3 linked regions of the Macaca mulatta genome follow. The protein of the gene in region 1 purifies or fractionates together with the protein of each later gene. This does not show direct contact. Links are inferred from orthologs where the notes say so. Each region holds a gene or a part of one and is shown in the gene's direction. Other genes may lie near its edges. The genes, in order: UTP4, WDR75 and UTP15.

Region 1 (3,755 bases):
TCAAAAACTTATGTGGATGCTATGCATACACGTGATACTTCCCATCACATTTTAGGATTCCCACGTTGGAGGGAATCAATTACTGGTATTTGTAGCAATGGGTGGAAAAGATGGCTTCAGTCGATCTGAGTTACTGCAGTTTTCTCCATCTTCTGCTACTCTGCAGCCCCATCTTAGCCTGTCCTCCTCTTAATGCTACGGACCCTTGTATTCCCCCAAACCCTTTCCTTTCCAGCCCGGCGTGGAGTCTCCCTCTATCCTCTTCCTCCCACCCACCCCCATCTTCTCCACCCACTCCCTCTCGGCCCCCTCCCACCCTTTCTGCTAGAGCTACAAACACTTCCTATTTCTAGTCCCACCCACTTTCTGGGACTTCTCAATCCGCTTCCCCCCTCTTCTCCACCCCCCTCTAAATTACAAGCTGTTTTAACCCCTTTTCCTGCCTCCCAGGGAAACTATTCTTTAAACCGCCTTCCTCCACACCACCCACCGGAGTGGTCTTCCAAACCGTTCACCCTCCTCCCAAAGATTACTCTTTAAACGTCCTTTCTCTACCACCCTCGTTCTCCAAATTGTTCCCGGTTCTCAAGTACTCCGCCCCTCCAGGACCCCATCCCACTCATCTCTACGGCTTCCCATCCACAAAAGAACCTGGAATGACTCTCCAACCACCTTCCCAATTACCTCTCCCAGAAGCCTCCCTACTCCACGATTACAAATGTTCCCTGGAACAAAACCTCACGGTCCTTCCCCCCACCCCGAACTCCCCTTTCTGCTATTCCCGCTACTTCCTAGGTTCCAGTTCTACTCCGCTCCCGCAAGCATAGCGGGCTGGGCTCCCTCCCAACCCCGGGAAGAACCCCTTCCCGCACGTACCTCGAGGTTCCGGCCCGCGCCGCCCCCTTCTCCGTCCTCCGCCCGCGCTCGGCCACCCTTTCCGCCCTTCTCACGCTCCTCCCCGCTCGCTCCCTTCCTTCCCTCCGCCTCCCGTCTCCACACCGCTCCCTTCCCCCAAACTCCCGGCCCTCCCACCCCGGGGGCCCCTCCGGGCTCGCCCCCATCTCCGCACCGCCCTCCCGCCACCCTCCCCCTTCCCAGCCACCCCTCCCCCGCCCGAGCTCCCCGCCCCTCGGCTCGCCATTCTTCTCTCCGAGCCGCGCGCCCCGCCCGACCCCGGCTCCCTAGCTTCCCGCTCCCTCGCGCCCTCGCCCCCATCCCCGGCTCGGCCCTCGCTCCCCGCGGCCTCCCATGCCCCCCGCCCGCGGCCTGACCTGCAATGGCGGCCGCCGAGCGCGGCGCCGCGCGGCCAACGGGCGACAACCGAACCTCCCGCCGCCGTCGCCGCCGCCGCGAGCACTGCCTGCGCACTTCCGACTATGCGCCAGGAGCACTTCCGGGGCAGAGCCTGAGAGCGCGCGCGCACGTGGGGCCGGGGCGGAGAGAGGCGAGCGCCGGGAAGGGGAGCGTGCGGCAGCTGGTGAGTTGGGGAAGGGGCGTGGGAAGCGGCTGCGAGAGCTGGGAGTCTTACATGGTGGGCCGGCCCAGGGTCGGCGTCCGGCTGATCTCCTTGTCCCGAGGGTCTCCTTGTCCCGAGGCTGGGTGGGGGCTACTCTGTAGACCCTGGAAGAAGGAAGGGGAGGCGAAGACCGCGCGCGCCCCAGGCGCTCTGGCCCTGCCGAACGCGCCTGCTCTTTCTGCGGGTTCCTAACCTTGAAGCTAGACGAGTGAGGGGCGAACAAGACCGGGTCTCTACTCTGGCCCAGTACGTATGTTGGCCGGCGTCGGGGGGACGGGGTAGGGTAAGTGACAGACGTCAGACCAGGCAGCCAGAGTAAGTCAAACCCTGTCGCTTCTTCCTCAAGAGGAGCTCAGTTCTGCCTGCCCCATCAGCCTTACTGTCACGACCTCAGTTTAGGTCTCTTGTTTGCAAACTTAGCAATAGAGTTGAGGAGAAATGCTTGCTAAAATGCGGATTCCTAGGCGCCCCGAGATTGGAATTCTGGAGCTATGGAGTAGGACCCTTTTTGATTTTTTGCTGAAGCCTCCTTGTTATTCAAACCATCCTGAGCTTTTGAAGATTAAGCAATTCTTGGGGGTGGGGAGCATTGTTAGTAGCTATTTGGAAATGAACTTCAGGGAGATGTTGGAGCCTGCTATCCAGAACAGTGATATTAAGGAACTGAATACTATACGTGACATACTGCAGTTAACATTTAACAATAATGACTCTCTTTTCCCCCCGCAGGAATGGGTGAATTTAAGGTCCATCGAGTACGTTTCTTTAATTATGTTCCATCAGGAATCCGCTGTGTGGCTTACAATAACCAGTCAAACAGATTGGCTGTTTCACGAACAGATGGCACTGTGGAAGTTTATAACTTGTCAGCAAACTACTTTCAGGAGAAAGTAAGTCATTTGGGAGTCTGATATGGTGTTTTGATGTTAATTTCTTCTGAAGTTCAAGAAACTTGTCTTTTATAATCAAACTAATAGAGTGACTTCCTAGCCCCTCTGAAGTTGTTTAGAACTACCGAACTTCTGAGATCTCCTGTCTAACTGATGAGAGAAGCTCAGTTTCAATCTGTGTAATGTTGATTAGAAGGGTCCTACCTAGAAATGTGTCATCTCACTGCCTGTCATTGGAAACTGAGGTTTGCTGGATATTTTGGCCACAGGAAGGGAAATTGTTGGTATATCAGTCTCAACACCATTGCAGCTTTGGTAAGCAACATTTCCTGCTGGGAGTGTCAGTACTGTTTCATTGTCAATTCAGAAAAAAATGATAACACATTTTAATATCAGAAACTTTTTGGTGACTGTTGGCAGGAAGGTGGATTCCAAAGTTCATCTGTCTGAGAGAATGTAGATCTACATGTCTACATTTGGGAGTAAAGGAGATTTAAAATTAGGTAAAATGTCCTTTGGGTGTATGCGGAGGTCTATTAGTCCTTTTTCTTCTCCCCTCCAAGGTCACTGACTAGTAATTTCGGGTGCAACATCTTAGTACATGTTGAATGACTGTTATGTACTGGGTACTGTGATGTAAATGAATAGATGGGAAAATGAGTGAATTCAGTGCCCAGCAGCCTGGTACCTGGAATTTAGGCATTCTGTAAATGTTGCTCGGTGAATGAGTGGCAAATACTGGGTACTGAGACAGATGTCAGAGGCCCTACCTTTACGGAGCTCAAAGACCAGTGGGAGAAACGTAAGTGTACAGTCTCCAGCCTGTAAAATAAATATGATAAATTGAAACACAGGCATAGAACCTTAATAGAGAATTGCCTTCCCTGAGAGGTGGGTTTAGGAAGTGTGGAAAGGGATGATTTACTGAGCTCACCCCTGAAGAACTAATCAGAATTTAAAAACTACAGGCCCACCACAAATGGGTTACATTCTGTGGTATGAAGAACATATGATGCTGTGTGCTTCTTGCATCCTGTGATTTTCTTTCTTTTTCTTTTTCTTTTTTTTTTTTTGGAGACAGAGTCTCACTCTGCCACCCAGCCTGGAGTGCAGTGGCGTGGTCTTGGCTCACTGCAAGCTCCGCCTCCCTCTCCTGCCTCAGCCTCCCAAGTTGCTGGGATTACAGGTGTGCACCATCATGCCCACCTAATTTTTTTTATTTTTATAGAGACGAGGTTTCACCACGTTGGCCAGCCTGGTCTCGAACTCCTGACCTCAAGTGATCTGCCCACCTCAGTCTCCCAAAATGCTGAGATTACAGGTGTGAGCCACCATGCCAGACTGATTTT
Region 2 (3,457 bases), on another chromosome or scaffold:
GTAAATCTTTCCTCAGAAGTGAATCACCTTTTTTTTTCCCCCTCAGTGGAGTGGAATGCAAAATTAAATGTTAGAGTTATGGAACCTGATCCTAATTCAGAGAATATTGCAGCAATCTCTCAGTCTTCAGTGGGTTCAGACTGTAAGTACAAACCACACTTTGTAGTAAGAGAATATCTATGACCTAAGTTTTCTTCTTAATATAATTTGAGTCAAACTTGCCTTCAAATCAGATGTTAATTGGAAGCCATTTTGCTTGAGGCACGGCCCTTCCTTGCCCTAACACTTTGTCATTGTGTAAGTCCATACTTAGTTCTAGGAGAGCTCCAATACGTTTCTTATTTTTCCACAAGCCAGTTCCTACTCAGTCTTTAAAATTCAGGAGATTTTACCACTTTGACACATTCCCAACTGCCCCTGAGAAGCTTTAATTGGTCATCCTCTGTGTTCTTGAAGCAGTTTCTACATATCTCATTTCTAGTACTTACAGACAAAATACTACTGTGGTTTCTGTCTTCTGCAGTAGGCCCTGGCCTCTGGAGCAGCAATTCTTCTTTCTCTTTTTCATCCTCATAGCCCTCATTCCTAACCTGCCTGGCCCATAGTAGGCACACAGTAGATACCTCTTGAATCAGCCTAAAACAGTCATGACTTGGGCCAGTTACTCAATGGGGTGAGTCCCAGGATTAGTGTGATCTGCCAGTCTAAGGCTAGAACTAACCTTTTCAGGCAAAATGTTATTGTCTCTTTGTTTTTTTCCTCTAGTGTTTGTATTTAAACCTAGTGAGCCAAGGCCATTGTATATTCAAAAGGGTATCTCCAGAGAGGAAGTCCAGTGGGGAGTGTTTGTTCCACGAGATGTCCCTGAATCTTTCACCTCAGAAGCTTACCAGTGGCTAAATAGATCCCAGTTTTACTTCCTAACAAAATCACAGGTAACTGCCCCCCTCAAAAAAGGCAATCGCTTTGTACATGGAATTTTAGACTAATAGCCCATGACTGTTGGTGTGAGTTTGTTCTAGGTGAAATAACTTCATTAAAGGATTATTTCCTCAAAAATTAGGTCTAATATGCCCAGTACAGCAGTATTATTAATGTAAATGTATTATCATTTTACCCCACACCTTTGAGGTTCCTTAGGTATTGCTTGCATTAACTCTGTGACAGCAAAGAAGCAGAAGACAACTAAAATACTTCAAATTGCGTAAATGTTTTTTGTTTTTTTTATTTTAGTGTTTGATTTGCAGTTTTTAAAATGGTGGCTTGAGTTTGGTCTGTCAGTTATTTTTTATTCATTTCCATTTCTTAAGTATCTCTCAGACATAATCTTGTAACTCTCATAGTGGTTATTAAATAGGTTTAAATCTTTTATTCCTTTTCTATTGTCAAATATATATATCAAAATGAAAAATTTGACCTTCCCATTTTTTAACACCCTGTAACACCTTGTTTAGATTTGCACTCTACAGTTTGTCTTTTGTATCGTTAATTGATCTCTCTTTTCAGAGTTTATTGACATTCAGTACAAAGTCTCCAGAAGAAAAACTCACACCAACAAGCAAACAGGTATGTTTTAGCCATTCATAGCAGGATGCATTGCCTACCTGAAAGGATACAATTACCTTTTAGAAGTCGACTATGAGAAAAATATTTCACTTGACCCTAAAATGGAATTAGAAGTCATATACTTATAAACTGGTATGTCTCTCTTGAAAGTTTTAGTGCTCTTTTAAAATTGTTTTAATTTATAATATCGGTAACATGCTTCTGATTTAAAGAGTCAAATATTTTTACAAGGCTCTTCAGAAAAAACTCCATCACCACTACCATTACCCTCAAAGACAATCACTCTCAAATCTTTTAGCTGAAGTTTTTTTTAACTCTGAATCTCTAAGAAATCTCTAAGAAATGTTTATATTTCTAATTATAGATTTTTCAGATTTAGGTATTATCTGTTAACTCTGATCTATTGAAGCTGAATTTTTAGCCCTTTTTTACATCAGCACTGCTTGCATATACACAACACACACTTTCCCTACTTGTCCCCCAATTTTCCCCATATGGGTAAATGTTAAATAGGTTAGTTTAGTAGTCATTGTCATAGCTGTATTAACACAATTCATAGCCAAGCCATGTAGTAGTAATAGGCAGATTGTTTTTCCTTTTGTGACCAAGTTTTTATTTTCTCTGGAGTTAATGATTGCCTTCTTTTTTCATTTGCTTAGTTTTCTATTCTCATGTAATTCAACCCAAATTCTGCTCAAGTTGTATAAGTGTTCTCTGAGTGTTTTCAGATACCTTAAGTATTTTTTCAAGTCATGAAGGATTATTTCCAAGAGCCTTCTGACTGTCTTCAGTCTGGACTGATTGCTCTGGAAACCTGCTACAGAGTAGTCATCCTAGGATCTATATTCACCATCATCTGGGGATTTATTTGACCTCTACTCTATTAGTGGCATAGTTTTTCTCTTTCTTTGGTCACTCCCTCGTTTTGGTGAAGCATTCTTTTAGTGCATTGGAGGTCAATTGAAGACCTTGCATGTTTGGAAATGTTTTTATTCTCTTTCACTTGATTATTATAGAGTTGTAGGTTGAAAATCATTCTTGCAGAACTTTGACATTATTGTCCTATTATTTTCTAATTTCCAGTATTACTAGAAGTTCAATACCATTCTTATTCTTGTTCCTTCATCTGTAACTTGGCTTGTTTATTTTCCTTTGAAACTCATTGGATTAATTCAATAATTTTTTTGTTATTTACTGTATGCCAGGGACCATTCTAGACCCTTGGGATACAGTAGTGAGAAAAGTAGTCAAGTCCCTATAAATTTGTGGTATTCACAGTCCACCAGAAGATCGAGACAGTAAACAACATGCATTAAGTAAAATATGGAATAGAGAAGGTGGTAAGAATTACGGTGGGGTGGGGGATAGATGAAAAGATGGCATGCATGGGATGCAGCTTATCATTTTAAACAGGGAAGTCTAGGTAGGCCTTTTTGAAAAGATTCTGACTTTTTATCTGAGTTACATATAGGGCCCCTTGGAGGGTTTTGAGTAGAGAACTAAGGAGGAGCTAATTACTTCTTTCCCTGTATTTTCTCTATTTTCTAGAACTCCTATTATTTAGTGCTGGACCTTCTAAAATGGTTCTCTATGATTCTTATTGTTTTACCTATTTTTTGTTTGTTTTCTGGAAGATTTCTTCATCTTTATCATCACATCTTTTTTTCTTTTTCATGGTCTGTTTCCATCACATTTTTGTTTGGTTTTGGTTTGTTTTGGTTGCTGCCGTTCATCTAGAGGTTTTCATCAGAGTCTGATGATTCTTGACTGTCTTTGGATTTAAAAGTGGGTTAAAAAGCCACTTGGAAGTTCTCTGCCTGTGCAGAACTTATCCCCTGGCTTCCACTATGTGAGCTAATTTATTGAGACAATCTCAAATGTCATTACAATT
Region 3 (2,801 bases), on another chromosome or scaffold:
AGAGTCTTACTCTGTGACCCAGGCTGAAGGGCAGTGGCATGATTTTGGCTCACTGCAACCTCTGCCTCCAAGGTTCAAGCAATTCTCATACCTCAGCCTCCTGAGTAGGTGGGATTACAGGCATGTGTCACCACACCTGGCTAGTTTTTATTATTTTTGGTAGACATCGGGTTATGCCATGTTGGCCAGGCTAGTCTTGAACTCCTGGCCTCAAGGGATCTGCCCACCTTGGCCTCCAAAGTGCTGGGATTACAGGCCTGAGCCACCACACTCGGCCCTTCTATTTTTTTTATAAATGGCTAGTCAAAGTCTTTATACAGATGTTATAGTTAGAGCTGGTATACAGCCCTTTTTTTTTTTTTAGACAGAGTTTCGCTCTTGTTGCCCAGGCTGGAGTGCAGTGGTGCAATCTCGGCTCGCTGCAACCTCCACGTCCCAGGTTCAAGCAATTCTCCAGCCTCAGCCTCCCAAGTAGCTGGGATTACAAGCATGTGCCACCATGCCTCGCTAATTTTGTATTTTTAATAGAGGTGGGGTTTCACTATGTTGGTCAGGCTGGTCTCAAACTCCTGACCTCAGTTGATTCACCCACCTTGGCCTCCCAAAGTGCTTGGATTACAGGTGTGAGCCACCGTGCCCTGCCTGCAGCTCATTTTTTAAGGGATTCAGTGATGAATTAGTTTGTAACTAACATTACTAATCTTTGTTTTTCTTCACTGTTGTATAGATTTTAATGTTTGTATTTTGAGTTTTCAGAAAATAGAAATTTGCATTTTATACTCATTTTCAAGGTGATTTTTGAGAAAGCTTTTCTTTTTATTAGGAAGGTGAAAGTGTACAGCACAACTGCCTACAAAGTAGTCCACAGCTTTGATTATGCAGCTTCGATTTTGAGTCTTGCCCTTGCAGTAAGTACCTTTACCTGTTTTTAAGTCTGTCACTAACCCTGCCTGTTAAATGAAACTAAAATGGAATTTTGGGCTTTATTTTTGGATTTGAGTAACTTTTCTTACCACATTAGATATTTGAGTTAAGACAATTACTGGAATATGTAACTTGTCCTAATGACTTAGCATGAATTTGGGTTTAGGTCCCACTCACTGCATAACTTCAAACTAAGTACAGTGCTCTAGGCATTGTTAACACTAAACGCAGGTCCTGGGAAGCTGGTAAATCTCTCTTCAACTCATTTAATTCAAGAGTATTATAGTACACTAGAAAGGCAGATTAGCTCTCTGAGCAGAAAAAAAGATTGAGGGGGAAGGGGACAACAAAATGAAATCTCTCCTTTTCTTTGTTACTGCTCTTTCTGAAATGTATACTGTCAAGTTTTATGAGAAGCCACATTTGGGCAGGAAGGCATTTGACTATATTATACAGAAATCTGATTTGGGAGAGGAAAAGCTTATTAAAAATATTTTTGAGGGGCAAGATCGTAAAAGTCATGCTACTGTGTAATCCTTGATGCCGTTAACTTTGTATTATTATACAAACTTTGCCGGTGATATTTTACAAGTATAAGTTCTGTCAATGTACTTGTATCCTAAGGAAAAAATGATTTTACTTTAACGTCTTACACCAATCATTGTTAGGCAGACTATGTGTGTCTGAATGGAACTGTTGGTGAATGTATGGACAAGCAGCAAACACATTATAAATGTGTTTTGAAGTAAAAGTACTATAAATTATGAGTTAAGAATAGACTAACTTATTTTTCTAATTGTTATTAGCATGAAGATGAGACAATAGTTGTAGGAATGACCAATGGAATACTGAGTGTTAAACATCGGAAATCTGAAGCAAAGAAGGAATCACTTCCCAGAAGAAGAAGGCCTGCATATCGAACCTTTATTAAAGGAAAAAATTACATGAAGCAACGGGTATTTGTGCATTTCTCATTTTTGTTTAAAGGGTGAAATTTTTTAGAGTAACCAGCTTCGTCCCTGCACATTACGGGAAAGTGTAGTTCACATGGCACTTTAACTTTATTTTGCATTTCTCTACATCAGAATTATTTCTGGATTGCTAGATTGGGGACATTATTGATGAGTAATGGGGAACAAGGACTACTTTTTGTAATAGTCTGCATCATAACATAATGTTATAATGCTTTACTTCATTCAAAATATTGTCTTTCACATACTACCTGATTTGATCTAAATCCCAAGAAGTAGTAGAACCAATCATGTCCCTGTTTGGCACCTGAGAAGATTGAGAGACAAAGAATTTGTGATTGATTAAGGATTTCATTACTGGTATCCAGAGTTGTTGAGACTAGATCTCATTATCTCTGATTGTTGTTTTGTTTCTCTTTCTATTGTATTACACTGCCTGCCACATAAAGAGAACTGAAATGAGGAATTTTTACCTAGAATTAAGGCAGTGTTGCATGTTGTAAGTTAAAATTCTAACAAAGTAAGAACATGTTGATGTAGCAAGTTACTCCATTTTTTTTTTCTGACTCTGATTAGCAGGATTCATTTTTATTTAATCTACGGGCATATGAACATTTATTTATTATGTTTATTATGGGCATATGAACATTATTTGTGGCATAGTTCAGAGATACCACTTCATTATGGAAAAGTTTATATTAAGTGTATCTTTATACAGATACTGATTTTTCTTCTTTATAAATGTGCTTTTCGTTGCAGGATGACATTTTGATTAACAGGCCAGCAAAGAAACACCTAGAATTGTACGACAGGGATCTGAAACATTTTCGGATCTCTAAGGCACTCGACAGAGTTCTTGATGTGAGTGAGCATTTTTTTTTAAAGTCATGTTATTATTTACCCTGC

The links.
Region 2: the proteins of UTP4 (region 1) and WDR75 purify together in Homo sapiens (co-immunoprecipitation; 3 studies listed by BioGRID and IntAct, counting the BioPlex papers as one, with this or other methods). This does not show direct contact. The link is inferred for Macaca mulatta from reciprocal best matches to the Homo sapiens genes UTP4 and WDR75.
Region 3: the proteins of UTP4 (region 1) and UTP15 purify together in Homo sapiens (co-immunoprecipitation; 4 studies listed by BioGRID and IntAct, counting the BioPlex papers as one, with this or other methods). This does not show direct contact. The link is inferred for Macaca mulatta from reciprocal best matches to the Homo sapiens genes UTP4 and UTP15.

The regions. Positions count from the first base shown.
Region 1 is NC_133425.1:64,745,157-64,748,911, forward strand, and holds the start of UTP4 (U3 small nucleolar RNA-associated protein 4 homolog), read left to right. Parts: upstream 1-1,436; 5' UTR 1,437-1,477; exon of another isoform or gene 1,478-2,245; 5' UTR 2,246-2,247; coding exon 2,248-2,406; exon of another isoform or gene 2,407-3,496; intron 3,497-3,755. UniProt on the Homo sapiens protein: Ribosome biogenesis factor. Involved in nucleolar processing of pre-18S ribosomal RNA. Part of the small subunit (SSU) processome, first precursor of the small eukaryotic ribosomal subunit.
Region 2 is NC_133417.1:94,453,636-94,457,092, forward strand, and holds part of WDR75 (WD repeat-containing protein 75), read left to right. Parts: intron 1-46; coding exon 47-142; intron 143-765; coding exon 766-935; intron 936-1,506; coding exon 1,507-1,566; intron 1,567-3,457. UniProt on the Homo sapiens protein: Ribosome biogenesis factor. Part of the small subunit (SSU) processome, first precursor of the small eukaryotic ribosomal subunit.
Region 3 is NC_133411.1:79,962,650-79,965,450, forward strand, and holds part of UTP15 (U3 small nucleolar RNA-associated protein 15 homolog), read left to right. Parts: intron 1-823; coding exon 824-908; intron 909-1,730; coding exon 1,731-1,880; intron 1,881-2,654; coding exon 2,655-2,756; intron 2,757-2,801. UniProt on the Homo sapiens protein: Ribosome biogenesis factor. Involved in nucleolar processing of pre-18S ribosomal RNA. Required for optimal pre-ribosomal RNA transcription by RNA polymerase I.